4 linked regions of the Struthio camelus genome follow. The protein of the gene in region 2 interacts with the protein of the main gene of each other region in a biochemical or structural test. Links are inferred from orthologs where the notes say so. Each region holds a gene or a part of one and is shown on either strand. Other genes may lie near its edges. The genes, in order: FOXO1, AKT1, GAB2 and HSPB1.

Region 1 (7,579 bases), on a different chromosome or scaffold from region 2:
GGATACAACAGCTGCTGCAAGAGCGGCGGCCCCGCTCCCCGCGGCAGGCGGTGAGTAGGTGACGGAGGCGGCGTTTGGCTGCTCGGGCAGCGCTCGCCGCGTTAGCAGTTGTTCCCCAGCTCCTCCGAGAAAACGGGGGGTGGGGGGAGGCTGCCGGGGAGCTCGCCGTGGGCTGGGTTTGGCAGGCAGGCGGCCAGCTCCGCCGCGCCACGGTGGGATGCTTCTCGTCGCCAAAAAAAATTGCCGGTGTGAGAGGCAGCCGGCGTGCCAGGCACTTGGGAAACGTTGGTGGCCCCGGTTCCAGCCGTATGGATGTAAATCCGAGAGGGTCTGGCTGCCTCCGCTGGGAGCGTCCAGGCTTTTCGTCTGTACGTAGCAGGACACGGAGCTGGGACGAGGTACCTTCAAATCCGAAACCGATCCCTAAAAGCTACTTGGTGAAATGAATGTTTTTAACCCCGTGGACCGGGACTTGACAGACCTGGATTCAAAGTCTATCGCTGCACCTGCTTCCTCTGCACTTTACATAAATTCGTGGTGGTCCGAGCCCCCCCGTGCAGAGTAGGACTAATAATGCCTCCTTTCTCTTGCCTCCTACCTGTCGTGCCCTGTTAGCCTGCTCTGGCGCACGGCCTCTTTCTTACTGGCGAGTTCAGGAGGGTTGCAGCCCTTCTGGGACTTATCAGGACGAGCATAAAATAGATAATAAGAAGTGACAGAAAAATTTGCATCACGCAAGGCTGAATGCCACTTGCTTTGCTCACACAAGTCGCCCTTTGAAGTCAGCACTCTCCTACCCGTCGCTTCTGGCTTACGTTGAGCGGCCAGACAGCTGGAAGGTGAGGGAGGCGAATGGTTAGGTTTAGGCTGGATTTGGGCAGATCCTGAAGGCACAGGGCCTAAAGTGGGGGCATCAACACTACAACTGTGGTGAGGGATCAGCACATCCTTAAACTCCCTCTGTGGTTAACGGGGAAAAGATGCAAGCTCCCAGCAGGTAATTCACAGCACAGAAATTAAGCTCCTGCTCCGAAACATGCTGCAGAGGAGTCTGCATTTCTTGTAAGCAGCTTCTGGTGGGTATGGAGGGCTTCAGGCTCTTAAAATTCCCTTAAATTAGGCAGCGTGCCCACACGGGACACACGTAAACCCTGCTGTGGTGGGAGGCCTTTGGCCAAGCTGCTGGACTGCAAACCAAAGTTACTCCCTTTGGAGAGACTTTGGAGGAAAATGGAGGTGCCAAACTGCCTTGTCCTTCCTCAGAGAATGAGCTTTCTCCCAGCACAGCAGCTCTTGCGATACCAAACATAAGCTGGTATTTCATCATTGCTTTTTGCTCTGTTAAAATGTTTCTACTGTCTTGCTATATATATACATGTTGAAAAAAGAGCTGTACATAGAATACGAGTGCTTTCAACTTCATGTAGTCCCTGGCTGAATTTGATCAAAACCTCAGGAAGTGAATTATGCATACTGGAGTAAAAAGACAGTAGAGACCCTCTATTTTGGCTGCCTCAAACCCAGAATATGGATAGCAGGCTATGCTTTATCCCAGTGATGATAAAAGGCAATCTTTAATTTGAAAAAAATACAAGACGACGCTATGGATGATAGGAGAAATTGCATTGTAGAGGAGTGGAAAATGGGAGCAGGAGTAGGAGTAGAGAAATGAAAAGGTGGAGTGTAGGAGGAGGACCGTGGGAGTAGAAAATGAATTGTGGTGCATCCATCAGCATTTCGGCATTGTGGGAGATGAGATAAACTTAACGCTGTCATTTGTAGATGTGGTAAAAAACTCTTGTACTGAGCCATTGCTGTATGCAGGGAGCCGCTTGAGGAGGAGGAGGAGGAAGGCCCACCTTCGGCAGCAACCGAACGGGAGGCTTCGCTCTCGGCGTCGCGTCCCTGAGAGCGGGCAGCGGCACTGGGAGGTGCTGGGAGAGCAGTGGGGTGCAACATGCAGCTTGAGCCTCCCTCACGTTATTTATGGCGTGTGTGTGTTGGACCTTGTTGCTTTGACTCTGGAAGCGGTTGACGTGAAAGGCTCTGCTCCCAAATGCCTTGGCACGGAGAAGCATTCCCATTCGGAAAGCAGAGGGTCTCACGCGCAGGGACGGGGGCGTTACGGAGGGACTCGTTCACCCAGGCAGTTTCGCAGGAGTCAGATCAGACTGCGTTACTCATCCGAGGAAAGCGCAGAGCACTGTCTCACAGGCCTTCATCCTTCCACAGCCCTTTACAGGCCTTGGCCAGAGATTATAGCGTGCAATCGTCAAAATCCCCAGCAACGTTAGCAGTGCAGAAGCTAGCTCTGTATGTTGTATCGTGAGTCATATGGCCTGACTTGTTAAGAAAATGCGGTGTTTTGAACCTTCCGATTTTATGTTTCCTTGCTACCTACCTTGAGATCCCTAACCCCTCGCTACAAAGTGTTTTCTAACTGAACTTACTGGTAAGATTTGAACTGCAAGGAAGGATGTCAGTGAGATGTGGCACAATCGTGACAAAGCCTCTCCAAGAAGGGGAGGTAAGCAACAGCAACGAAATATAGGGCTAAAAAAGGGGGAAATACACTTGTCCTGCAAAAGGAACCAGGCTGAACACACCAGGACTTGGGAAAATCCCGTAGCAGCAATCTTCTTCCAGGTTTTCACGGTTTGTATCTGACAACTAAAAACTATTTTTCCAACATCTAGGCATGTCAATGGAGGCCAGAGAATAACACCTATATTTTTGATTAAAAAAAAAAAAAAGAAAAAAAGCAATGAGTGCAGGATTTAAAAAAAAATCCTTAAAAGAAAGCCTGGGTAATAAATCCATTTCCTTTAGCAGGATGGGTGCCAGTCCAGCTCTTAGCCTTCTTTTCAGACACCAATGGCAGGCAAGGAAAAGAAAATGTTGCAGTGTTCTCAGGCACTTCTTTTGTTTTGGCTCCCTTTTAAACGTGTCCGTTCGCCTTACGTCGCTGGCTGCTTCTCACACGTACCACCTCTCCTTCCATTATATAATGTGTGCTTCTCCAAGTCAGGGTGCTCTCCCTTATTGCAGGGCAACTACTGTAGCGCAGTTGTATAACACTGCCGGATAAATCTGTTCCAAGCTGAAACGTGGCATGCAAGTTATTAGGTTGAACTGGGACTAGTTTCCTTTTTTTTTTTTCTTTAACTGAAAAAAATCCCCTCTGGTTGTTTTAAAAACCGTAGGCTAAACAACATAGATTTGTGGGTTGAATCCTTTACAGGATTTGGATAACATAGAGATGACATAAAGGCAAAGCAGCTCTGAAATTTTACAAGCGGGTGTAATCACCTTCGGCATTTTGGAAAGCAAACGTGACGAAAGCTTTAGAATTTGATCAGTTACTATGCACTCTTGCATATGTGCGCCAACTATATATATAGTTAGGTGTCCTCGTGTGACTTAAAAAGTGTTTTTGTAATAGACAGCGCGTGTACGTAGATGTGTGATCTGCCACTAAATTATATGCTGTGGGCCTAAATTCAGTCTCATACTCTACGTCCTTCATTATCGCTGCTCATTCTCAGAAAACATTTTTACGGGAAAAATTTGAATAACATTACTGCTCTCTGTCCGGATTCAGAGACAAGGGAAAAGTAACATGTTCACTGGCTCACGGTGGCAACTACCCGCTCTAGCAGGTCCTTTGACACGTAATGTCAAACGTCGTGGACAACGGCGGATTTTGTGCCTTACTAACCCCTGCTTAAGTATGTTGTTAAAAGTACTGCTGCTATTTAAAAGAGGACAGGACTTCTAAAAAGCGGGGCTGAACAAGGCGCTGAAAAGCAATCGTGCCTCATCCCAGATCAAGCAAATGTCTTCTTTCTAATTTTGGACAGAACGTAACTTCTTGTTGCGTTGCCTTGAACACCTCTTTGCCCGTTTGCAGCCCTGGGAGGCAGAGGTGGCACGTCCCGGAACCGCTGCCTCTTTGGCAGGGGGGAATAAAAGCCTTCCTAAATTAAGCCATTCGTAAATGTCTTAGGCTTTGCTGGGGCAAGTGATGCAAAGCGTGTCTAAGGGCGGCTTTAAACCGTCATTATCTCGAGGTCACGTACGAGCCCACGGTAGAAAACAGCGGCGGACGGCGCGGAAACACGCCCGGGAGGCGGTTTGTCCGGCAAGCGGGCGCCGCTCGGCCCGGGGGCAGCTGCGGGGGCACCTCCGGCCGCTCCGCGCCCGCGCAGCCCCTTCCGGGCGGCCGCCCGGCCAAAGGGGGAAAAAAAACCCAAAATCAAAAAAAAAAAAAAAAACACAACCCCACGCCGAAGCAGCCCGGGGGCACCGGCACCCTCCGCCGAAGCGGCCCCGCGGCGGGAGGCGGGCGGGCGGCTCGGCGCTGCCATTGGCCGTCCGCCGAGGAGGAGGAGGAGGAGGAAGGCTGGAGGCGGGCCCGCGCGGGGCGGTCGCTGCAGACGGTGCGCGCCGGGCGGCCGGGTGGCTGCAGCCGCCGCGGAGGGCAGGGAGCCGGGCAGGGCAGGGCAGCGGGGCCGGAGCCGGAGGGCAGTTGGCGGCCGCGCCGCCGGAGCCTGCATGGGGCGGCGGCGCTGAGGCTTCCCCCGCCGCTGCCCGCCGGGTCCCGGTGCTGGGTGCCGGTCCCGGTGCCGGTGCCGGCCCCGCCATGGCCGAGGCGCCGCAGCTGGTGGACATCGACCCCGACTTCGAGCCGCTGCCGCGGCCCCGCTCCTGCACCTGGCCCCTGCCGCGGCCGGAGTTCAACGCGCCCAGCTCGGCCACGTCCAGCCCGGCGCCGTCGTGCGGCGGACAACCCGAAGGGGCGGCGGGGGCCGCCGCCGGGGCCGCCTCGGCGGCGCTCGGCGCCGACTTCATCAGCAACCTCAGCCTGCTGGAGGAGAGCGAGGACTTCGCGCCGCTGCCGCCCGCCGCCGGGGCCGACTGCCGCTGCGGGGACTTCCCGGCGCCCGAGGCCGGCTGCCGCCTGCACCCGCCGGGGCCGCCGCCGGGGCCGCCGCCGGTGCCGCCGCCCGTGGCCGGGCTGTCGCCGGGCCCCGTGGCCGGGCAGCCCCGCAAGAGCAGCTCGTCGCGCCGCAACGCTTGGGGCAACCTGTCCTACGCGGACCTCATCACCAAGGCCATCGAGAGCTCCCCGGAGAAGCGGCTCACCCTCTCGCAGATCTACGAGTGGATGGTCAAGAGCGTGCCCTACTTCAAGGATAAGGGCGACAGCAACAGCTCGGCCGGCTGGAAGGTGAGTGGCGGCGGGGAGGCGCCTGGGGGGGGGGGGGGGCTGGTCCTGCTTTGCCGGGGGAGCTCTCCTGACGTCCCCCCGGCCCGGCCCGGCTCGGCGGGCGGTAAGGTGCCGCCAGGCGCGCTGCGCTCGGCGCTGCGCACGCTGCCGCGGGCGGCCCTGCGCCGGCCCGGCCAGAGGCGGCGCGGAGCCGCGGTGTTGCAAAAGGCTGGGAACTCTGCCCTGTGCTCCCGTCCCGTCCCGTCCCGTCCCGTCCGCCGGCCGCTTGCTGCCCTGCACGGAGTTTGCTGCGCTCCGACTGCACGCTTCGGGCTCGCTCTCTCTCTCTCTCTCTCAATCTTTTTTTAAAAAAAAAAAAAAAAAAAAGCGTTTCAGCCCTCCCCCAGCGGGGCTCGGCGAGGGCAGGAGGCGCGTCTCGCCTCCCCCCCACCCCCGCCGGCAGAGGGTGGGGGGGGGGTGGGGGCAGCGCGCCGGGGCTCGCCGCTCCCCGCCTTCCCCTCCGCCCTGCCTCGCCGAAAGCAAAAGTTCAGGCCGTGTCACCGCGCCGTGCCCGGGCCAGGCCGGCCGCAGCGCCGCCACCTCCGGCCCCCCCGCCCGGCCCGGCCCGGCTGCGGCGCGGCCCCTGGCAGCGGCTGGGGCTGAGCCGTGGCGGAGCCGCGCGGCGCCGGGGCTGCCCGTCCCCGACGGCGGTGCCGTGTGTGTGCCCGTGCCGCGTCCCGGCGCCGCGGGGTTTGCCGTCTGGCCGCAGGGGGGAGGGAAGGAGGGGGCAGAAACCACCAGCGATGGGGAAAGAGCAGAGGCAGGACAAGGGTTGCAGAAATACCACGCGTTTAATAAGTAAGCTGCCGTATCTGCCCTGCTGGTTTTGTTAAGCTTGGCTTACGGGGGTTTCCTTCCCAATAATGGCACAGGCTTCGCTCCTGCGGCGCCGTCCCTAGACGTAGCAGCTCGGGAGTAACCCGCTGGCAGCAGGGTTTTCCGCCCTACCCTGCGCAGAGCGGGGCCGAGCGGCGAGTTCAGCCTGCCCCATCCCCGAGGCCCGTGGGCACTCGCTGCGCAGGTGGCTCCCGGCGTCACCCTCGGTGCCCGCGGCCCAGCCCACGCTCTCCGTCACGGTGGTGGCTGGCAGCGCGCAGCGGGACGGTGCTGCGGCGGCCCCTCGTCCGCGTGGGTGGCGAACGGGCAGCTTTGCTGCTGCCAACGCATCGCCCTCCCAGGCCTCTGTCAAGAACACCTTGCCCACCGGGACCTGATTTTAGGACGGAGCTAGAGCAAAGGGTGTCGTGGCACTGTTGCGTTAGACCGTGGCTGGAGTAGGCTTTAGCTGTCTGCGTGAAGGCAGAACCTTCCGCTCCCTTATGGTAATAAATGCGTTAAGTGCTCACACGTAGCCCGGTATCGGCGCGTTGTGCTGCTGTGTTCGTGATTTCGTTCCAGTTAGGGCAAGGCGCGGTCCGCGGTGGTGCGGAGCAGTCTGCTTCTGAGTTACGCTACGCCACGCTTCGCTCGCTAGTGTCTGCAGTACTCGTGTTTTAAAAATAATATCAACTCAAACAGTGTACTTTTATACATATACTTTTGACTGCATGGCTAAGAATGTGCGTTAGCTCAGATTTTTGTAGATTTTATTATTTTATTATTTTTTATTTTTATTTTTTACAGGTAGGCAGCATCCCTTTAAGGAAAAGTAGTGTTATCTTAAATTAATTTTTAGCTGAAGGCTTTAAAAATAATTTATTAATTACTATCTATGTGTCTGACAGAAAAATCAAAAAGTTAACTGTCTGAAGACATCTTTCTTGAGAAAGTTTAACAAAAGTAAAATGACTGATACCTGACAACTTTTGAATAAGGTAGCTTGTCACTTGAAAATGCTGTTTTTTTCCAGTGGTATTTCAGTCTTCTGGAAGAAAGTCAAGATATGCCAATTGCCTTTTCAGAATGAGTAGGGGAGAGTAAGTAAATCAAGGCAGAAATAAAATCAAAACTCCCAAATCCAAGCAAACAAATAAGTTACACTGCTAACAGAGTTTCTCATTAGGAGCTTCTTATTTTATTACTTCTTCTTCCTGTGTTGCTTCAACACAGAATAAGTCTCGCACACCTTCTTCTGGCAAACTAAGCACTTCCGATGCCTGCAAACCTATCTTACCACCAGGAAAGCCGTTCCTGTTAACTTGCTGGATGTGGAGCATTTCCCCTTGTCCCTCCCTTCCGCTGCAGTGGGTATCCTGCGACTTTTAGCCCGTGATGTGCACATCCTGTTTTAACATAATTAAATATTAGGAAGCTGTATGTAAATAGCATCCTGGTGCGGTGGGCGCATGTCGCCGTAATTCCTTCCAGCCC
Region 2 (7,647 bases):
CTGCCCCTAAAAGCAGCGTGGACTTAACTGGTTCTGGCCACAGGGCAGAACAGCCACAAACCCACATGTAGTCACAGCCGACAGAAACAGTGTAGATGTGACCAAAGACTAGTAAAAGCACTCCAAAAAGTTCTGTGACACCAGAAAGTCAGGCTGAAGAGCAGATATCAATGATTCCCCTGAAGGCAAGTGGTAGCACGAGCTCAAACCCGGTTAGACACCGGAGAAGCACATGAGATGCCCAAACTGCAGAGAAAGCTTTGAACAGCATTTGTGCTCATTAGACACCCACAAATGCAACCAACGCAACACAGTTGCATAGGGAATTGTATTATCAGGGTTCTTTCACAGGACAACTTGTATTATAAATAAAGCAGAAACTATACTCTGCTGTCGCTCCCCAAGCTGTTGGTTTTTGGCAGGTTTCTGACTGGCATGACTGCAGAACTGAGGCTGCAGCTGAGCACTGAAGTAAAGAAAACACTGAAGATATGAATTTGACTTTCCTCTCCCTTCCCCTTTGCCTGCTTTTATTCGGTTCATGGTAGTGTCATCTCTTTTACATATGAGGTGTGAATACAGATGATGACATGACTAAATGCAATTTTATGGCTGCAGTATCCAGGGGGTCAGACCAGAATGATATTGGAACGGTCACTTCTGGCTTTAAAAGTTTCCAAACTATAAAATTTTGATGAGGTGATTCAAATGCTAGCAGATTTTTGTGTGCATGCAGATGCCATTAAAAATGCACTGAAGAAATTAAAAGCAATCCCTTCTCTGCTAGCATTCATGCACAAATAATAAAAAAATCTGTCAGTGCAGTGGTTAAATGTCATGTGTAGATATATTTTAAAGGATTTAGGAAGCCTCTGTCATCATAATACCGGAAATCTTAACAGCTAGATTAAGGCTCTTGATCTCAAGGAAATTGTAAAGATCATGAGAAAGACTGCGTTTTTCTGTACTGGCTTCCACCTGGAGCTCAGTTCATCTAGACTGCAGCGCTCCGAAAGATCTACTGCTGTGCCTATGCCTGGCAGCAGAGCTGCTGCTCCTTCCACTTTTCCATAGGGAGATTTGCAAGGGCAGTCACTAATACTGCACTCAAGTTCATTTGCCCACCTTGTGCTTAACCATATAATTTTAGATCAATATAGCATAATGAGCATTGGGTGTGTGAGTTGAGAATGCAAGAGACCTGATTTTGTTTTTAATGGGTATAGAACATGTGTATACAACTTCATTATTTCAGTGTCAGAGGATTTTCCTTTTCGAATATAGTTAAGATTGTGATGTTTCTTTAAGCAGGTTATTGCAGTTTCAGCATTTTCAGGTATCTTCCCAGAACTAAGAACTCACGAAATGTTGTTTTACAAACAAGGAGGGGAAAAAATCAGCAATTTGGAGTAGACTTTGCTTCCTTAAGATCAAAGACTGTTTCTTCTGCTGTGTCTGTGCAGTGCCTAACATTTCCTGGTCCAAAATGGGACTTGTGGTTACTACTGTAACAACAAAAACAGCCGTGGTTGGCGTATGCGACAGAACTGATATATTTGCTATTTTTGTACATTCTATATCTAACTAGTGCATTTTCTGTGCAAACCAATTCAGTTCCTGTTTATTTACTGAATTCCCCCTAGCGTGTTTGCTGCCCTGTGGCTATCATTATTCCAGAGGAAGAGAACTGCATGGTTCTCGCTTTGGAGTTTGTCAGCACCATTCATTACGGAGCCAGAAAAGCTCTTGGAAGGACTGTGAAGTATGCCCTCTTCCTCCTTTTCCAGCTGGAGAAGGCACACTGCCACCCCAGCGCTGCCCAGCCTGAGCATGCTGGCAGCTGGGAAACAGAAGCTCCTGTAGGTCTCCTGTCTGACCTCTGGGAGGGTCTGTAATAAACCCTGAAGAAGAGCTCCCAAAAGATGTTTTAGCAAACAGGGACAACTCAGATCTCTGGTCTTCCAGTTATCAATTTAGCTAACACTTGAATAGTCTTTCATCGAATTCAGCACAGAAGTACAAACTAAATCATACATGTATTTATTCACAGTATAACTTTCTAAAAAGCAGAATGACAATGTTTCAGTATGATTACATTTATTCTTTTTTTTTCCAGATAGCCTACCTTTGTTTTGCTCTTGAGAAAACGTCTTCAATCATTGGATTTTTTTTCAATTTTAGAAGTGCAGCTATGTTTATTATATTTGGCAGCATGAAATGAATGCACTTTTAAAAAAGTTTGTATTTTTATTAAACTAGACTTTCATCTTAGACCAAACATGAGCTGTTTCTTTAAAAGTTACAAATGCCTAGACTGAGACACTAGTGCCACAACTCTAATAGGACTTCGCATAGCTTTTTTTTTTTTTGAGCCCTGTTTGAGTAGAGCCCACCTTTCAAAAAGGGAGGAATAAATTCACTGTTAGCACCAAAAGGCACTGTCAGCACTTGCAGTCATGGAGCACAACTTGTTCTACTGGGGTGAACTCAGTAATTCCACTCCATCTTACCATACTAGTCTTTCCTTTTATGCCTGACTGAATAAAAACGTTTTTTATCCAAAGCTGCATAATTTCAGTGTTTTAAAATAAAGTCTTAAAAGTTAGATCAGATTATTTGTTACTTCCATATTTGTTAAAAATGGGTGAGAACATGAGTGTCTGTTCTTCCGGTACAGTATTGATATATTGTCTGGCAATCGACCATTCTTTGCCTCCAACCCCTACGTTCAGTATTTTATGGTAACATAATACCAAGGAACAGTTGATGCACCTTATCCCATATCAGTTACTAAATTAGAGTAAACAGATGTGAAATTTGAGGAAGCGCTTAGGGAAATCTAGGGACTTCCCTGAAAATTAGGGTTTATAGACTATAATCCCATTGATGATAACTGAATGACAAAACCCCCATTGTTTGCATTTATAACAATTCTTGAGTGATTTCATTGTTCTCAGAGGAAAAAAAGGCCTGCTTTTGTTCATTGTTGTTACAAAGTCACCCTTGCTGTTGCAGACCAGGCACTTCCTACTTTACCTGGGTATTTTTATCCACATGACTTTTCTGTGTTTCGGAGATAAGCCTTATTCCAAACCCCAAATCTAAGTGTTGTCCCCCCCCTCCCCTCCCCTCCTGCCCACCATTTGGGGAATGTCAGATCTGGATCCAAACTTTCTAGTTTGGGCCTGTCGTTCATCATTGTAAATCAACAGTTTGCAAATCTAAACAATGTGCTCGTGTTGATTTTGGGTTTTTTTACTGTATTTCCTTTTTAGCAAACAATGGAGGTTTATTTTCTTCTCTTTGGGACTGAAAACTATGCTTGCTGTATGACCTTATTTTTTAAACTGCTGCTTCATTTGCAGGGGAAGTCCTAATGACCTTGCTCACGATGACAACCCGGGAGCTTATCAATCAGAACAAGGTTTGGCAGAGAGGCAAGAAAGCTCTCCTGCAATCAGATCTATTACCAGAGATCCCTCTGCCTATACAGAAGTTTCCTACAGCCAGTGAAGTCCTCTGCTTACACATGCTCTTTATTGCTCGGTGTAATCACAGGCTCAAGAGTCAAAATTAGTTTCTAAATGAATTTTCTTCTTTATTTTTGGTTAGTTTCTACACATGTCCCCTCAATATGCTGCAAGCCTCTCACACTGATGACTAATTTCCTTCGAAAGATATCTTTACTACCTAAATGCATTTTAATCTATGCTAAATATTCTGGACTTAATGTACAGTATGTAGAAATGGGACGACAGTCCCAGAGAGTCTGTTGCAGGTTTCTCTTTTCCTTTTTTTTTGCCCTTGTACATCAGCATGGGAACAGTTCTCCTGCCCGTTTCATTCTCCTCTTGTATAAACCGAAATTTTTCCACTGCATCACTAGGTGAGGATCTAACCCTAAACTAGGTACTCCTGTAACACAGGGTACGCTTCTTCTCCTAACTTGGCTGGTAGTATATTTTTAAACCCGCTTAAAGGCCCCAGTACTCCTAAAGGAGAGCCATAGAAATACAATACCGGCTTAGCACTTCCACGGGGAGGAACTGGCCTGCCCAGTGATGGAAAAGGAGGTCTCGTTCTCCCTCCCTCCATCCTGAGCGAATGTGAACCCTTTCCTCCTCGTTCCCATTCCTGCCTCCTCCAGAGCACTGATGTACACAAAACCCAATGATCCGTTTGACACCTGGGCACCCAAGAGGCAGTCAGAATTATTTAGACAGACCTAGATGCTCAGAATGGAAGAGGAAAGTATATAAGCCGTGAATTTTGGTAAACGTGTACAGTCATTCAAAGGACATGGTAGAAATGCCTCTTACTACCCAACAAAATAGATTTGTTACCAGCGTGAATGCAAGGTCATATTCCCCGGCTTTACTGCTGTAAATGCACTTCATGCACCGTGAGTCTATTAACACTGCAAAGCTATGGGAAGGTTTTCCAACTTCTAACCAGCTTCCGGTTACAGAAACGTGACCATCCGCCGCTGTCGGCTTCCGAACAGACCAAATCACTTCTTGCAGCCCGGTCAGAGCTGCCGGCACTGTCAATGAGAAAACAAACAAAATCCTTAAATTAGCAAAGAGGGCAAAACTAGCTACTGGGAGCGCCGAGAAACACCAACTCCGTCAAAGGCACTTCCACAACACGGTTGTCCAGAGCGCAGCGGCCCTCAAACCCTGAGGAAGCGGGGCGAGGCGGCGGGCGGCCGCGCTCCGCGCCTCACGGCCTCCCCGCTCCGGACAGGGCCGCCGAGGTGTTCTCACAGGCACCGTCGCGCCCAAGTATTTAAGCAGCCGGTCGCGGGGAGGTGTGAGGGAGGTCCGTGGCCGTGGGGCTCTGCCTGCCTCGACGGCTTTGGGGCGGCTCGCTCCCGCCGAAGGCGCCCAACGGCTTCCTCAGGTACTTCCGAGCGGTGCGGCGCGGCCTGCGCCCTGCCGCCGGGCGGGACGGCGGTTCCGCGGGAGCCGGGCGACGCGGTCCTCCCCCGCCTCCCGCCGCCGAGGGGGGCCGCGGCGGGGCTGCGCGGGGCGGGCGGCGCTGACAGGGCCCGGCGGGCGCTGCCTGCCCTCCCCGCTGCCGGAGGGGCGGCGGCGAGCGGCGCTAGGACCCGGCGGCGGCGGAGGATGTGAGCGAGCGCGGCGGCGGCGGCGCGTGTGGGGCGAGCGCGGCGGCGGCGGGAGCGCGGCCCCGTGGCGTGGCGGGGGGAGGCGGCGGCGGCGGCGCGGGCATCCGCCGCCTCGGCGGCTGCCGGCAGGGGGGCGGCTCGATCGCGCGGCGGGCAGGCGGGCAGCCTCCGCCTCCCGGCCGGAGGCAGGGCGGCAGCGGCGGGAGCGAGGCGGAGCGGAGCGGCGGGCGGGCGAAGGCAGGCCGGCAGCCGGAGCGGGTGTGGGAGCCCCATGGGCCGAGCGCCCGCCAGAGGGGGAGGAGGAGCCGCCCCACCGCCAGCCGCCCGGCGACGGTGAGGAGGAGGCGGCGGCGGCTGCCGTGAGCCCGGTTAGGCCTTAGCTCGGGAGCGTCCGCCTCGCACCCCCCCCCTCCACCTCCCTTCCTCCCGCCCTCTTCCCTTCCCCGGCAGCCGCCACCCTCTCCCATCACCTCCTCTCCCCGGGCTCCAGGCACGTAAGTGACCCGGTCCCCGGCTGGCAAGGGCTGCGGGAAGGAAGCGCCGGGGCCTGCTCCGCCGCGCCGCGCCGTGCGGGGCCGGGAGGGCAGCGCGGGGCCCGGGCGGCGGCCGCCGGTTCGCCCGCTGACCCGCCTAGGCCGCGGCCGGCGGGGGTGGTGGTGGTGGTAGTGGGGGGGGGCTCCCCCGCCGCGCCCCCCCCCCCCAACGCGGCCGGGCTGCGGCGCCCCCCGGGCCGAGGAGGAAGGTGGGGTGGGGGGGAGAGGCGGGCTGCGGCCGGCCCCCGGCGGGCGTCCTGCCGGGCGAGCGGGCTCGGGGCGAGCAGGAAGCTGTTGGCTTCCCCGGGATGCGGTAAATGGAAAGTGCTGCGGGCGGGGGGGGGGGGGGGGTGTCCGGCCTCCCGGCCCCCGCGGGGGGCGCGGGCTGGTGTGAACACCGTGCGGCAAACGAAGTAGCCGAGGCAGCTTTCCCCGTCTTCCCCCCCTTCTTCATCTTCTGCCGCCGCGTTGCGGAGCCCTTTCTGGCTGGCGGAGCAGCGAGGGTTTGCTGCGGGGGGTGTGCTGCTGCGCGGGGGCGTCTGCCGTGCGGAGGCTGCTGCGCAGCGTCGGCGGACTTGGTCTGTGCAGTCGTGCTTCGCAGACCGCTGTCTGTCTGCAGATGCCCCCTTCTCCCCCCCTTTCCTCCCCCCCGGGTGAAATTCTGCAACTGTTGAAATGTTCTTGGGGGGGGGGGGCTTCTAGCACTTTTGCTTCTGTTTCTTTGTAAAAACACGTAGTGTAATCCAGGATGTGAAGATACTGGGACTTCTTTTTTAATATATGTCTTACTGGCAATACGGTATTGATGCTAGTGTGTTTGTACCTTATCAGTATTCCCCTCCCCCCCCCCTTGGGGAAAGTGTTTAACTGTTTTCTTTTTGCTTTGTTTTTCTGCCATCCCTAATATATAATGAGAAGCAAATCCCTGATTTGCCCTTGTTTGTTTTATTTATACCACAGGAGGGATGTACATTTCAAAATACAGTTATAAAGGGGAGTTACTAACACTTAATTCAGAAGAATATTTGTTTACAGGTAAATAAATTTGACGTACTGCATGACTAGTAATTACTTTTATGTAGGAATTAATTTCCTTATGACAGCCACAACATTTGTCTGAGTTAATAGATTTAAAGACACTGTGGAGCTAGCTTTCATTTTTTTTAAATAGGAGGGTTTTCATTGTGTACAGTGTTTATAGAACTGCTTTTTGATGTGCAGCAATGGTAAATCAAATTGACCTAATGTCTGCATGTAACCTGTAGCTCCAGCATTCACTTTCTGGCTTATATAATGCCCTTATTACAGTAAGAATTAAATAGGATCATGACTGACTTCGTTTGTTTGGTGGACAGAGCAAAACTTTTGTTATGAGCACTTTAAAATGGAATTTGATTAAAATGCTTCTTAAATTAGTACAAAAATTCTGTGCAGCACAGTTCTTATGTGAGCGTAAACTGCAGAAGGACTTGTTCTTGTTTGGGAGCATAAAGAGGATTTTGTCTAGCCTGTGTCTCTGACACAGTATGAAGAAGTTGTCTCTTTTCTACCGTCACTCCGTTTTGAAATAAGTAGCTTAGTTTGTCCTATCAAACTTTAGCTGTGGTTGCAGCTTGGACAGCTGAATGTTGTAATCCGGGCCCCTCACCTGAACAAAATTAACCTCCTGTCTATTGATCAGTAGAGACACAAGAGCACAAGGCATTTCAAACTGCTGTTTTGTAAACCGAGGTTACGCCCATAGACTGAAAGAAGGTGGGCCTGGTTTTAGAGATTTGTCTTTTACCCTCAAATTACGGTTTTTCCGATCGCTCTCAGTATTAGGGAAGTGTTTCCATTCCTGGTGATAAGCCGCATGTGCCGTCATGAAATACCTGTTTAGATGTGGTGTTATTCTTAATCGAACATCACATGGGCCAATAGCAGATGTTAGTGGCCTGTCTCAAGGCCCACAATGCATTTTGTAAAGTAAGCGAAGATGCTGGA
Region 3 (7,380 bases), on a different chromosome or scaffold from region 2:
GCTGAACTGATGGCAGGTTTTATAGGAGTGGGGACTCCTGGCCACATCTGAATGCTCTGGACCCCTACTGAAGGGGGCAATTTGATTAAAGCTCTAACACCCTTAATACAGAATCACAGAATCACAGAACGGTTGAGGTTGGAAGGGACCTCTGGAGTCCAACCTCCCTGTTCAAGCAGGGTCACCTAGAGCACACGGCCCAGGATCACGTCCAGGCTGGTTTTGAATATCTCCAGAGAAGGAGACTCCACTACCTCGCTGGGCAACCTGTGCCAGTGCTCTGTCACCCTCACAGGAAACAAGTTTTTCCTCAGGTTCAGATGGAACTTCCTGTGGTTCAGTTTGTGCCCGTTGCCTCTTGTCCTGTCGCTGGGCACCACGGAGAAGAGTCTGGCCCCATCTTCTCGACACCTCCCCTCTTCAGATACTTGTACACATTAATGAGCTTGCCTCTCAGTCTTCTCTTCTCCAGGCTAAGCAGACCCAGTTCTCTCAGCCTTTCTTCAGAGGAGAGATGCTCCAGTCCCCTCACCATCTTTGTAGCCCTGTGCTGGACTCTCTCCAGCAGTGCCATGTCTCTCTTGGACTGGGGAGCCCAGAATTGGACACAGTACACATTGGACACATACATGGCATGGCCATATAATATCACCATCTCTATACTAAAAAGTGATAGGGCACCACCAAACGAGACACAGTACAAATGAAGGGCACAGTTTTCCAGCCACTGCAGACTTTCCACGTGACACAGCACACTTCACTAGAACTTTTCTCTATTTAACTGGAACTAGGAAGTAAAGAAGGGGGGGGGGGGGAAAGCTGCCAAGCTGCCTATCTAAGAATAAATGACTTCAAAAAGATGATAGAGGCAAAATTCAGCAACTTGGGCCCATGGTCATACAGGAAGCCAGTGCAACCAGCATGACTTGGAGGGAAGTCCCACTGACCACAACTCCGGGACCGGAGTATAGAGAAAACCCCTTGAGTTACATATGTCCATTGCTGCTTCCTGACCCACTAACATTGCATAGGACGACCGGGTACATTTGGGAATGGCTGAGTTTCCTCTTGGGGGAATAATGATGTTTTCAAAACATAGGTGGCTTGCAAAGCACTTTGGGATGCATCTGCATGAAAAGCACTCTTATGCACATCAATAATTAGCACTAACCACTAGCATGTCACACCCTCATGTATAGCATTTAGCAGATTTATTCAGCTCTTGCTGGAATGCCAGAGCACAAGCTAGATATTCAGAAGGCGATGTGAGCGCCCTTTCATTGAATAGATGTTGGAGAGCTAATGATGTTTGATGAGTTAAGGCCACTGGTGACTCAGTATCAGCAATTAGTTGATTTCTGCGGGAGGAAGGTGCTTTGCTCCATTAAGCTAAAAGCATCCTCCGCTGTTCAGCATGCACAAAGTCAGTCTGTCCATCTTGCAGAGAGCTGCTTACATACATCAGGCTTTGTCTCAGTACATTTAGGGGGCAGGGAGGGAAGGAACTGGATTTTCCCTCAACTCCATCACACATTCCATCTGCAGCCTGGAACCAACCCAACCCTCCCGCAAAAGGGACCAGGCACAGCAACGAGTGGATGGCCAAGAGCAACCAAGCATGGTCCAAAGTGAGGAAATGTAGCGCCGCTGAAGTCTACGGTGCTGCACTCATTTGGGACTAATGCTCAATCATGAACCAGTTACCTCCCTATGGAACGGGTCTACTCATACCCACCACCCTCTCTGGGGTATGCAGCGGTGCGTCAATCAATAACACGTCTATGGCACAGGGGAGACCCCAGCGACGCTTGTCCTGCCTGCGCTTCCCAAGACGCACAGGGGCAAAAGCAACAGGAAGGAAGGACAACTTTGGTGGTGCCTCTCAGGAAGGAAGGGTATCCCAGGAAGCAAGAGCATCCCGCTCGCGCTGGATGCTGCGGTGCCAAGGAGCCGAAACCCGGCAGAGTTGAGTCACCGGAGCCAGCGCGCAGCACTCAGGGACTTCATCTGCCGAGTCACAGGACGGCAGCTTTACATAGTCGCGTTCCTGAGCTCTGGGGCTTGTGGCGCACTGGGAGAGCGTCAGGCGGCGGGCGCAAAGAACAGTTATTTCTTTCAAGGAGTCGGGAATGTGACAGGGCTGGCATTTGGACCCTTCTTTACAACTTCCTTGAACTGTTTGATCTCAGCCGCTAACGACACACACACACACACATAAAAAAAGGCTACCAAAGTGCTACTGGTGCAATCTTCAAAGAGTTTGAACATCAGATGATTAACAGCAACCGCAAGCGGGGAGGGGGGGAAGCAGCCGTTACGGGGTGCGGAGCGGTGGGGGGGGGGGGGGAAGAGATCCGCGTTATTTTTATTATCCCGTAAAAAGCAATCTCCAAAGGCGCCCAGCGCAGGTGGGGGGGGGGGGGGGGGAATCCAGCCACGGCGGGTAGCGAGCGCCGGGCGCCAAGCGCAAAACCACGCGAAGAGCCGAGCCGCCGCCGTGGGCAGCCGCGGCCGGGCCGTGTTGACCCGCGTGGCGCCCGCAGCGGGCGCGCACCCAGCGCCGTCCGCGCTGCGCAGCGGTGCGCAGCGGTGCGGAGCCGGCGGCCGGGGCCGCCCCCCGCGGAGCGGCGCGCCCGGGGCTGCGGCGGCAGGTGCAGCCGGCGGCGCGCGTGTGTCCCCTCGGGCCGCTGCCCGCGCGTGTGTCCCCTCGGGCCGCTGCCCGCGCGTGTGTCCCCTCGGCCCGCTGCCCGCGCCTCCCACCCCCCCCCCCCCGTAAACCCACTTACATATCTCCGCAACTTCTTCTCCGGCGGGGACTTGCGGAGCCAACCCGCGCACACCACCTCGCCGCCGCTCATGGCGCAGAGGAGCGGAGCGGCGAGCGCGGGGCGCTCAGCGCCGCCGGCAGCGCTCGCCCATCACCGTGGCAGCCGCGGCCGCCGCCTCCTCCCTCCTGCTGCCGCTCCTGCTGCCGCCGCCCGGCTCTGCCGGCAGCCTCCTCCCCCCGCCGCCTTCCCAGCCCCGGCCAGCCGCTGCGAGCGGGGAAAGCAGGAAACTGCCTCTTTTTTTTCCCCGGCACACCACGCCTCCCTCCCTGCCAGGCGAGCCTGCTTTTATTAAAGATACAAAACCCCGCACACGGCACTGGGAAGGGGCGGGCGGGCGGGCGGGGGGGTGGAGGGGGCGCTCCCGCGGCGGCAGCCCCGGGCCCCCGGCGGCAGCTGGGTGGTCGCCGGGCTGGCCGAGGGCTCCTCCTTCCCCCGGAGGTGTTGCCGCTCATTTCGGCCCGCACTGGCGCACAGGGTGTGCGTATGTAGCTGCATGCATCTCTATAGGAACTTTAGCGTAGAGCAGGTGACCTCCTGGAGCAGAGCAGATCCTGTCTGAGCCGGGATCTTGCATTGCAAAGCCCCCCACCAAGCTAGTTAAAAATAAATAATAAGAAAAAAAAAAAAAACACCCCAACACCCCACAGGATAAGGATATGGGGATTAATCACTAGATTCCCCCCCGCTCTTCCCCCAGACGCTTCCCCTCTCTTTATGGATTTTGTCCTTCTCACCCCAGGGAGGAGAGGGCGGCTTACACCCTGCAGTGGTTAAGGGTTTTGTGGGAGATGTGAAGGAGCCGGAGGAAAACAAAGAGGTGGAGGCAAAACACGGTCAAATGCCATGCTCTAGCAAAAAAAAAAAAAAAAAATCCTCCTGGAAAAAAAAAAAGGAAAAAAAAAAGGAGAGGAATCAATAAAAGCTTCATATTTTATTATTGATTTTTAAATAATGGAGCAGCACCCACTGAAAGGGGATTTGACTGCCACTGGAGTCTCATGCAGACAAGCTGGGTTTCGTATTACAGTGTATTATACCCTAGCTGAGATTTAGCCATCCTCTTCCAGATCTAGAAACGCTGTGCGCTTCAAGGTCTGATCCTCTCCCCATCCGAGGCACCAGCAAAACGTCCCTTCGCAGCCCTGAGAGGAGGATCATGCTCTAAACCTTCTTTTTGCCTTTCCTTAGAAGCGAAAATCTGGAAACAGCGCTGATAGAAGTTTGCTAGCGCCGAGCGCTCTCAGCTCTCAACGCCTTCACGCTATCCACGTACCGGGAAAACACAACGCCGGGCTGCTTGCCGGAGATGCATTTCCCCAGCCTGCCTCTATATGACAGCTCTGCCCCAAACCTGCTTGGGCACATTAAATCGTCCCTCCCTGCCTCAGTTTCCCTTCGTGGCGTTTTGTCAACTTGTCCAACCCACGTGGGCAGGGACAGTCTCTCGCTTTGTACTGTATCTGGTGCAATAGCACCTAGACGCCGGCTCACACGCCAACACTGTTCGAGCAGGGATCTTGCATCACTTTACAGGCAGTAATTACAGCTTGCAGTGCCTCGGAGGGGTAGGGATGACACCTCTTCTCAAGATGGGGACAACACAGTTAAGCCAGGTGTTGTTTACCATCTTCGTGAACACTGAAAGGAGGGGACTAACCCCTTAAAGAACAAGTATATCATTTTTTTCAACCATATTTTTTTCAAAATGCTCGTCCTTTTCCCATGGGTGAAATGCAAAGTCTGTAAAGAAGCTTTTCCACCTTTTCACCGCCCACATCGAGGGCTCGGTCCTATTTAAGCGTGGGGCAATCTTTCCATAGAGGCCAACTCTTGTCAGATCAGCATCTCCGAAAATACGCTCCGTCTGACGGGACTGGGAACCGGAGAAGACAGAGAGGCCGCTTCTCGGCCGACACAAATCAGAACTGCTGTATTCAGTGGACTGGAGCGGTATCAATTTACGCTGCCCGAGAGGCTCACCTGTAAATCTATGACGGGTTACAAAGGCGCTTTGCACGTTCACAGGGAGAATCGCTTCCCAGCGACCGACCTTCTCAGCCCGAGAGGTCTTCCCAACAGCCAGGGCAATTCCAGGAAAGTCAGCAGCTTACCCTGGGCTTAGGACGACATAATCGAGCATGGACTATCGGCTCTCATTATGAATACACTGGTACCGTACAAACCCCTTCCAAAGCATATGTTAATGAGTCACAGGTTAGGAATTCCCTCATGCTGACACTGATGCAAAGTGGTATCAGTCTTCAAACCGGTCACAAAGAACCCCGGCCGCATTTCTATGCTAACAGCTCTCAGCACGCAGCATCGAAAACACTTTGTTTGGGCGATAGGCGTTTCAATGAAATGTTCCGTAATTCTCATGGTTTGCACGGAATTGAAGGGGAACGAGTAGTCACACGTTTGGCGACAGCCTTGGACTGCGTTCTCCTGCTCCCTTGCTCCTTTTGCTCTGCTCATCCCCTACTTTGGGTCGAATTTATTGACCTTTTTCTATCACGAGATATATCCGAACAGCGTTCGAAAGATGAATTCCCCCCACGGATTTTGCCCTAACGTCTTGGCCATGCACGTACCCCAGGCTGCCGTGACTTTCAGAAGGGAAAGGAAATAGGCTGCATTTTACGTGCTCTGAAACACACTGCCATCGCAAACATAAAATGTAAGCTCTATGCGGGGGGGGGGGGGGGGGGGGGGGGGGAAGGCCGAAACGACGACACTGCATGTGAATGCGGCTGCCTGATGCTGCCACGGCTGCGCGCGGAGTGAGAACAGCAAGTTCATTCTGGCATCGCGCTGCCGCATCACATTTTATACCATGCACGTCATGTTACAACGCTTCTTACTGCTGGTGCCACTTAAAGCATCTGGCCACACAAATATTACTCCAAACGCTTCTAGGACTTAAAAGACAAAGACACAGCTCTAATTTGGCAGCGCTCGCACGCCCGTGACAGTTTTCCCAACTTCAAGCTGCTCTTGCACCCGACGGCAGAGCCTGAACTAAGGCTGGCCCCAGCTGACGGCGTGAATCTCCCGAGTCGTGAGCTAACAGCCAACAGCCCCGGCTGAAAACTGCAAAAACCACCTCCTTGTGCTGCAAAAAAACACGCCGAGGGGGTTGTGCGAAGCAACTGAGACTCCTTCTCTGCCAGTGGGACCAGCAAAAAAGGGGCAAAGGCAGAATTAGGAGGCAGACTGAGGGAGAAATTAAGAGAGATCGTATATAAAATCATATTCCTCACACGAGGCTAGGGCAGTTCCAAGAAAAAGCCCCCGGCGCCGTGCTTTAAGCACGCCGAGGTGCCAGAAAAGGAATGACACTTTCTGCTGCAGAAACCTCTGTTTTTTTAATCACAGTCTTCAGCGTACTTCCTTGTTCTTGGCCGTAAGGGAACCGAAATGTATGTCTGAAAAATCACAACTTCTAAGAAACAAACCACAACGCCCGCCGCTGCTCTTTGCCTGCTCCAAATTTGTTTAAATGAGCTGTGCCATCTACTGGCAGCAGGGGAAGAAAGCGTGATTTCTCCCCTCCACACACCAGATTTTTAGTGTGTAAGCAGTAAGGACAGAGACGCAGGGCATTTCCTGGGGATTAAGCACCAGCTGGGTGAAATGCTTTGGGCTACTTACCCCAGCCAGGCACTGATCTCTTGGAAATGCCCTATGCTGAGGTTAATATAAACCTAAACATACTGGAGGGGGACAGGCTTTAAAAACGAGCTGTGCTGCTTGGCGATACGTGCCTGCTTCTCATCCGGAGCGAATGTGCGGTCTCTTGAGATCCAGCTCCCCAACAATACGACCTGGCTTTATCTTCACCAAACAGCTCCTGCAGCAGAGCTGGAGGCAAACAGCTTCCTTTATTTCACAAAAAAACGTTCAAGGTTAGAAATTCATCTCTTCCAAGGAGAACTTGAATCTTGCCACCCTCCGTAAAAGAGCACGGCGAGCCCCCCAGAACAGCCCGTAATCGAAGCCAAACCACAAGACCGTCCTTCCTCAGTGCAGCTCCAGCAGCACTGGCTGCTTTCCATGAGTTGGGACAATCGTAGCGCAGGATGCTCTGAGATGACTAGACCATTTGAAGCATCGTTGCTACCGTGTTCTGGCAAAGACAGAGGCATCAAAGCTCTGACGCCTCAACAGAGGCTCAAAAAAGGGAGAAAGGAAGAGATGAGGCAGGGGTCATCAGTGTCCAAGCTGCACATGCACTCTTGGACTTATCAGTCCAGTTGCTAGTAGTGAAGAATAGGTGTTGCTCTTCCAAGACGGTGATGTGAAAACAATGGATCAAACCCGCTTCATCCCCTTTCTGTTGGGGATTACGGTGAAATCCTGCACATCACCACGGAGGCAATGCGCTGGGCAGCACTGGGAGGATGTCTGGGTTGCTGAGCTGGACCTTTCTGCGGATGCAGCTAGGCCAGGCTCCAGCCTGTGGAGCTCTTCCATTCCTTACACTTGAAGATAATTAAATGGATTTTCCTATAGACGAACCACACTCCAAGCTAAAGCCCAGTCGTGTTTCCCT
Region 4 (6,910 bases), on a different chromosome or scaffold from region 2:
ATATTGAGACCTGGGATATCAGGGGCCCAGGATGTCAGAGACCTGGGATATTGGGGACCTGGGATGTTGAGACCAAGGATCTTGGAGACCTAAGATAATGGAGATGTTGGATACTGAGACCTGGGATATCAGGGGCCCAGGATGTCAGAGACTTCCTGGGATGTTGAGACCAAGGATCTTGGAGACCCAGGATAATGGAGACATGGGATATTGGCTATGTGGGATATTGGAGACCTGGGATATTGGAGACCCGGGATATCAGAGGATGGGGAAGGCGTGAGTGCAGGCAGGGTCTGTGCCCCATCCAAAAGCTGTGCTGGACCCCGGCAACACCCACACGTGCCCCGTCATGGCCAGCACCACCAGCTCAGTCAGCCGTGCCGGAGGGGAGCCCAGGCGCCCACGGCACGGGTCCCAGCCCGGTGCCCCCGCGGCACGGGTCCCAGCCCACCAGGCCTGCTGCCCACGGGACGCAGGGCACCAGGCGGCTTTATTTCATGGCTGTTTATTCCGATTGATTCTACTTTTTTCTTCTCCTTTATTTGAGACACGCAGTGATGGGGTGAGTACAAAATACAGAGTAAAAAGGGGGATGAAAGCGGGGGGTGGCGTGAGGAGCTATTTTGTGCAGGGCAGCGGCGCAGGCAGCGGCTTCTCTCCCTCCTTCTCCTCGGTTCCGGCTACTTCTTGGCTGGCTCCTCTGCTTTCTTGCCTTGGCTCTCGACGGTGACGGGGATGGTGATTTCAGCGGACTGGATGGCCGGCTTGGGCAGGGGCGCTTCCACAGTGAGCATGCCGTCCGGGGAGAGGGAGGAGCGCACGGCCGTGGCGTCGACGCCGGGCGGGAGGCTGCGGGCAGGAGAGCGGGGGTCAGCACCGTGAGGCCCCGGCCCCGGGGCTTTTCACAGCCCCAATTTTTTTTGGCTACGGTCCTCCCCGTTTGGGCTAGCAACAACCCCAGCTCGCCCAGAGGAGGCACCAGAGGGGATGGGGCAGGACCTGGTGGATGGGAGAGGTGCCCAAAGGGGTCAGGGGCTGCCAGGGTCCTGTCTCACTCTGGCACTTACGTGTATTTTCGGGTGAAGCAGCGGGAGATGAAGCCGTGTTCATCCTGCTTCTCCTCGTGTTTCCCTGGAAGAAAAAGAAAAGCCAGGACAGGGTGAAGCCTGCTGGCGGGGCACCGCGGCGGGAAAGGCCTCTGCATTCAAGGGTCCACCATGCCCAGGGCAGCACCCTGGTGCGGTGCCTCGGGGAGGCGGGGGGCCAGGTGGCCCCCCCTGGCCAGGCAGGAGTGGGACGGGTGCTGCGGGGGGGACGGCACGGGGGATTCACCTTTGCTCCCCACCGAGCCAGGGACGGGCACAAGGCGACAGGCAGTGGGTTTCTCTGCCTTGACAGCAGGCCGGAGCGGCGCTGTGCAATGGCAGCGGGGGGTTTCCTGGGCTGCCCTCCCCTTCCTGCATCCCCAGCACGGGGGACTGGGCCTCCACGGGGACGTCCCCGAATCCCAGGGCCGCGAGCTGCTCCTGGCAGCGGGGACCAAACCCGGCTGCAGGGGTGGCAGCCCAGCTCTGCACCCCAGCTGGCCCCAAGGCCTCGAGCGGGGCGCCCAAATCCCACCGGCTGGGGGACCGCAGCCCGGACCCCGCCGGCGCTGCGGGGTGGGGGGTAAACGCACGGGGCCGGCCACGGCCGCCAGCCCCCAGCTGCCCACACCGTCGCCCCGCCGCTTCCCTCCGCTCGCTCGGCCAGCGAAACCGGCCGCTGCCGCGCGGCGAGGACTCACCGGTGATCTCCACGATGTTGTCCTTGGTCTTGACCACCAGCTCTTCGGGGGCGAAGTGGTTGACGTCCAGGGTGACCTTCCAGCTGTCGGCGGTGTGGCGGATCTCGGAGATGCCGCTGCTGAGCTGCCGGGTGAGCGCCCGGCCGTAGGCCGAGCCCGCCGCGGGCACCAGCGGGCTCTCGCTGGGCAGCAGCCGGTAGTAGCCCGGCCAGGCGCTGCCGCTCGGCCACTTGTACCAGTCCTCGGGGATGTGGGGCATCCCGAAGGACTGGTCGAAGAGGCGGCTGCCGTGGTACCAGTCCCGGAAGGGGTCCCAGCTGGGGCTGCGCAGGAAGGTGAAGGGCACGCGGCGCTCGGCCATGTTGCACGGTGCGGAGGGCTGCCGGGGCTGCGGCTCCTGCCGGGGCGGCGCCGGGGGCCTTATGAAGAGGGCGGGCGGTTATTTTTAGCCAGGCATCTCAGCTGGCTATTAATGGAAATTGCAGCAGGGGCCGGGAAGGGCCGAGAAGCGGCCGGAGGAGGGCCGAGGAGGCGGGGGGGGAGGAGGAGGAGGAGGAGGAGGAAGCCGGCGCTGCCAACTTTCCCAGGCCGGAGCGGCCGCGCACAGCCGCCAGTGCCCCGGCACCCCGCGGCCTCCCCGCGCCCCGGCAGGCCGCTGCTCCCGGCCTCTCCCGTTAAAAAAACCTGGCAGGGCGGCGGGAGGCAGCGCGGCGCGCCGGGGCCTCAGCCAGCAGCCGCCCCCCCCTCCCCCCCGGCGCTGCCGCTGCCAGAAGCTTCTGGAGCGTCGGAGGCCGGCGGCGGCCCGGCCGGCAGCCGTGCTGCTGCCCTCCCGGCCGCGGCACGGCGCCCCTAAAGCCAGCCGGCTCTGTCCGAGGCGGCCGGGGGGGGGACAGTCCCGGCCCCAGGAGGGGCTGCCGGGGGCTGCCGGCGGTTGACGGGGGGGGTGACAGGGGCTGGTGACAGCTCATGGGGCCAGTAGGGGCTGGTGGGGCTGATGGGGGTTAACCGGGGCCGGTGGAGGCTGATGGGCGCCAGAAGGGGTTGGTGGGGCTGATGGGGCCCAGTGAGGGGTCAGTGCAGGTAGATGAGGCGCCATGAGGGCCGATGGGGCTTGACGGGGGCCAAAGGAGACTAACGGGGGCTGCCGGGGGCTCGGAAGGCCCAACGGGGGCACTTGCGGCCAGTGGGGCTGATGGAGAGCGATGGGGGCTGAGGGGGGTGGTGGCCGCTCCGGGACAAGGGGAGGACGGCTCCCTCCCGGAGCCCTTTGCCCTCACGTTCACCCTCCAGCCAGGGAGGCCTGCCTGCCGCCTGGAGAGCGATGCCGAGACCCCCCCCCCCCCATCCCCTTCCCAAATCCAGCGGGACCTTCCAGGCCCCCCCCCCCCCGGCAGCCCCCCGCCGGGGAGGTGCCTCCCCAGGGCTGAGCTTGGACTTCAACCTCAGGCCACCTTTTCATTCCTCCCCCCACCCCCAACTCCCCTCCCAGCTCGCTGCAGCCTCAGCCCTTTGCTTTTGAGGCCCAGCGCTAAAATTTCGCCTCTTCGTCCCATATTTTGACCCATATTCTGCCTATGAATCAGTTCATGGCAGCCCCAGAAAACCAGGTCCCGGGGCCCGACGAGGGGTGAGGCCAGGGCGGCGGGAAGGAGGCTCTCGCCCAGCGGCCTGTCCCCGGCCGACACCAGGGGAAGGGGTGTAGCTGAGACCTGATGCACTCACTGCAGGGATGCACGAACACAGAGATCCCCTCCCAGCAGGACGCAGGGCACTGATGGGGCCGTGGTGATGACCGGAGAGGGGGGGATGCCCTGGCAGGGGTGCAGATTTTGGGGAAGGGGAAGGAGGGGGGGGTCCCCCCATGACCACCGCAGTGGGGTGCCAGCACCCACCTCCACATGCTGCAGCCGCTGGCAAACCCTTTTGTTTGGGGAAGGGGAGCTGCTGGGAGAGCCGGCGTGTTGCCATGGAAACCACGCAGAATTGGTGGGGGGGGGGAATGGATAAAAGCAGCCGAATCGGGTAGAGCTGGATGCGGAGGGCCGCATCCTGCCGGGGAGCTGGCAGGGAGCCCCGTGGGGACGGGGGGAGGCGGTAGGCGCCGGAGGGGCCGCGCGGATGGGAGGGAGGCGAGGAGGGAGCGCGACGGGGCGGCGGGGTGGGGGGGGACGCGGAGGCCGAGCAGGGAGGCAGAGGACAGAGCGCCGGAGCCCGGGAAGGGCTGCGGCGAGACAGCGGGGTTAACGCCGTGCCAGCCCCCGCGCCGCGGCCTCGCTGACAACAACCTGCTCCGGGCCCGGCAGAGTCATTTACAATATATACTGTATGTTTTATTATAACTGAACCAGCTCACCGAATCTACAGCTGTACTCACAATCCGGAAAAAAAAAAAAAAAAAAAACCCAAGAGAGAGCGCGCGCGCGCGAGGAAAACACTGAAGTATTCCTGCGGAGTATTTGTTCCAGTTAGCTCCCTCCGCGGGCAGGAGACAGGGACTGTAAAAGAGGAAGACTGGAAATTTTCCCTGATGTGCTGTCTTTGTCGGTGCTGGCGCTGCAGCCGGGTTGCTGTCGCAGAGCAGGACTCGGGCTGGCGGGGGGGCTCGGGGACACCACCGCCGGGGACAGGCGCTGGGGTTGGGGGGGCGTGCAGGCGGCAGAGCCCCCCACCCCGCTCCCCGGCCGCTGCCTCTGCTCAGGAGGGGGGTGAAGAGGGAGAAGAGGCCAAAATTGCAGCGTTTTGGGGCGCACGGGGTTGCTGGCACAGTGTGTGTCCAACCTAGGCGCCTTGTCGGGGGCTGGCAACGGCCCTCCTCAGGCTGGTGTAAAAATGCCACAAAATAAACCCTCTCCAGTGGTTCAAACTCTGATTTTTTTTTTTTTGTCTCGATCAGGCATTTTGGGGCTCCCACAGGCAGTCTGAGACCGGTGCAAGGCGGCAGCAGGAGCCCACAGCTGAGGCTGCCCCTGCTCCAGCGCAGCGGGCGAGCGGGTGCAAAACGCCCCCGCAACCTGTCCAGGAGATGCTGGCGGGGCTGGGGGGGCTGCAAGGAGGAGACGAGCCACGGTGCCAGCAGGGCACCGCGCAGGAAACCCACAGGGACCGGGGAGGGCAAGGCACGGCCCGACCGTGCTGTGCTGCCCGGGGCTGCCACGCTGTGGCTTGCAGAAACATCATCCCTACGAGCCCTTGCGGCTCACCCTTGTCTCTGCATCGCCCAGGCCCACTGCACCCCCTTCTCCAGCTTTGCAACGGGGCATCTCGGGACATCGGGCAGGCCAGGCCCACAGACAGCTGGGGCAAGCTGGTCCGCAGCCGCCACGGTCGCCAGCGCCCCGGGAACGCCCCGTCCCAGCCAGGGAGCCCTGCGCAGGGAAGCGAGGGGTTATGCCACGGCACTCCTGCCACCTGCGCCCGGCCGGACCGTGTGCCCCAGCACGCTGCCGGGGTGCTGCCCTGCCCGGGGCTTTCAGGTTAATATGCTGGAACAAGCCAAGCAATTGAGAAACACAATCGTTTCTCCTTCTTACCTGTTAAATCCATTTCTAATTGCTTTTCTTTTCTGGGCAATTGGTTCAGCTCCTTTCCAGATCAGGCGCACCAGCCTGGAATCGCAATGAGGCCCCGTCTCTCCCTGGTCCCTGCCCAACCTTCAGCACCTCTGGGAGGTATCTGTGAGGCTTTGTCACGTCCTCGCACAAAGGAACATTTGCCAGGAAGCAAATTTTGCTGCAGACAGCAGCCACCTCCAGCGGGGGAAGAGGGTCTGCTAGCTGAGCAAGTGCAGCAGGACTGGCTGCATGGAGAGACAGGCTGTGAAACCACGGAGCTTGGCTCAGGAGATGATCCAAGCCTTGGAGATAGTTCTCCAAGGTCTGGTGAATTGTCCTGGCCTCAGCACAAACATTAGTCACTGCCTGCCTAGAAGGAGCCAGTTTCTCAAAGCAGCCTGTGCTGGGCTTGGAAGATGAACCTGAGGCTCTTGTCTCCGTACCAAACAGCTGTGCCCAGACCCTCCCCCTTTCATCCCACCCTGCTTGGCCCCAGGTGCCCTGGAGCACCTCCATCACCCAACCCCAAATGCAGGCCCCTCTCTATCCTCCCAGCCTGACTCCTCTGTTTCTCAATTTGGCTCCGTTTCTCCAGTGGCAGTTTTGGAAAGGGGAGTACAAGGGACTCTGCTGGCTGGGCAAACCGTGACCACCCCCGCCCTGCACAGCAGCGGCCGGCCCCAGATGCAATCCTGGCTTAACTCATATTCCTGCCTCCTGAGACCTTCAATTCATCATGCAGTAGCCATGGACTAACAAAGCCTTTGCATTATAGGCTGAGCAGGATTCAAAAAGGATGACCTGGTCCTACCAATCCCCTCGAGCCAGCCAGGCAGGCTGGAAACTAATGTCAAGAGAGATTGACAAAGCCCAGCTTTCAATCTGGGGGCAATGGGTTAATCCGGGCAGCTGCTCTCTCCACCAAAGGAGGCTCATCTGTATCGTCTTTCTCCAGTGAGGCAGAAAATGCGTGGCCCATGCAGATTAAATGCAAACAGCCCCAGGGTGCTGTCATGCAGGAGCAAGCCCTCCTGCCGTCCTCAGCTCCTGGGCAGCTGAGAAGAGCTTTTTGGAAAATCAACAGAAGGAAAGCTCTGCAAAACCAGGGCTACCAGCTAGCATCCCAGCTCTGCCGCTTCTCAGCAAAGTCCCATACTCACGGGACCCTCCTCCCTCTCTTTTTGGAACCTAAGCTGACATCCAAGCTGTGTCCTGCTGCTGCTCAAGGAGCTTCAGCAACTGCCTGGCCTAGGCTGAGAGAGGGGAGGCAACGGGACCGGGAGCCAAAAGTGGCCATAGTGGCTGGGGCAGATCCTGCCTGCTCTGCACTGCTGTGTCCTGCTCACCTGTGTCCTTCACCACCCTGAATTGCAGCTACCCCACATATGCCAACGAAGGGCAACCAGTGGCAGCATCATCCAGAAAGGGAGTCGAAGCCTTCAGTGAGGGCTGTACTTCCTGGGGAGAGGGCTGTACTGTGAATTGGGGGGGGGAAACCGCACCCGAGGAACAAGCCACACAACTGGAAGGTGGGTCAGGAGCCCCGGCTGTGAGATAGAAGTGGCATCGAGAC

The links.
Region 1: of the proteins of AKT1 (region 2) and FOXO1, one has a biochemical effect on the other in vitro, tested with the Homo sapiens proteins (4 studies listed by BioGRID). The link is inferred for Struthio camelus from reciprocal best matches to the Homo sapiens genes AKT1 and FOXO1.
Region 3: of the proteins of AKT1 (region 2) and GAB2, one has a biochemical effect on the other in vitro, tested with the Homo sapiens proteins (2 studies listed by BioGRID). The link is inferred for Struthio camelus from reciprocal best matches to the Homo sapiens genes AKT1 and GAB2.
Region 4: the proteins of AKT1 (region 2) and HSPB1 form a complex in vitro, tested with the Homo sapiens proteins (3 studies listed by BioGRID, with this or other methods). The link is inferred for Struthio camelus from reciprocal best matches to the Homo sapiens genes AKT1 and HSPB1.

What each region holds. Positions count from the first base shown.
Region 1 is NC_090942.1:194,159,195-194,166,773, forward strand, and holds the start of FOXO1 (forkhead box protein O1), read left to right. Parts: upstream 1-4,568; 5' UTR 4,569-4,642; coding exon 4,643-5,230; intron 5,231-7,579. UniProt on the Homo sapiens protein: Transcription factor that is the main target of insulin signaling and regulates metabolic homeostasis in response to oxidative stress.
Region 2 is NC_090946.1:73,935,909-73,943,555, reverse strand, and holds the start of AKT1 (RAC-alpha serine/threonine-protein kinase), read left to right. Parts: upstream 1-4,639; 5' UTR 4,640-4,902; intron 4,903-5,032; exon of another isoform or gene 5,033-5,128; intron 5,129-5,324; exon of another isoform or gene 5,325-5,622; intron 5,623-6,621; exon of another isoform or gene 6,622-6,696; intron 6,697-7,647. UniProt on the Homo sapiens protein: AKT1 is one of 3 closely related serine/threonine-protein kinases (AKT1, AKT2 and AKT3) called the AKT kinase, and which regulate many processes including metabolism, proliferation, cell survival, growth and angiogenesis.
Region 3 is NC_090942.1:220,164,883-220,172,262, reverse strand, and holds the start of GAB2 (GRB2-associated-binding protein 2), read right to left. Parts: upstream 3,019-7,380; 5' UTR 2,859-3,018; coding exon 2,787-2,858; intron 1-2,786. UniProt on the Homo sapiens protein: Adapter protein which acts downstream of several membrane receptors including cytokine, antigen, hormone, cell matrix and growth factor receptors to regulate multiple signaling pathways.
Region 4 is NC_090957.1:14,555,465-14,562,374, forward strand, and holds HSPB1 (heat shock protein beta-1), read right to left. Parts: upstream 2,538-6,910; 5' UTR 2,148-2,537; coding exon 1,787-2,147; intron 1,132-1,786; coding exon 1,068-1,131; intron 850-1,067; coding exon 681-849; 3' UTR 515-680; downstream 1-514. UniProt on the Homo sapiens protein: Small heat shock protein which functions as a molecular chaperone probably maintaining denatured proteins in a folding-competent state. Plays a role in stress resistance and actin organization.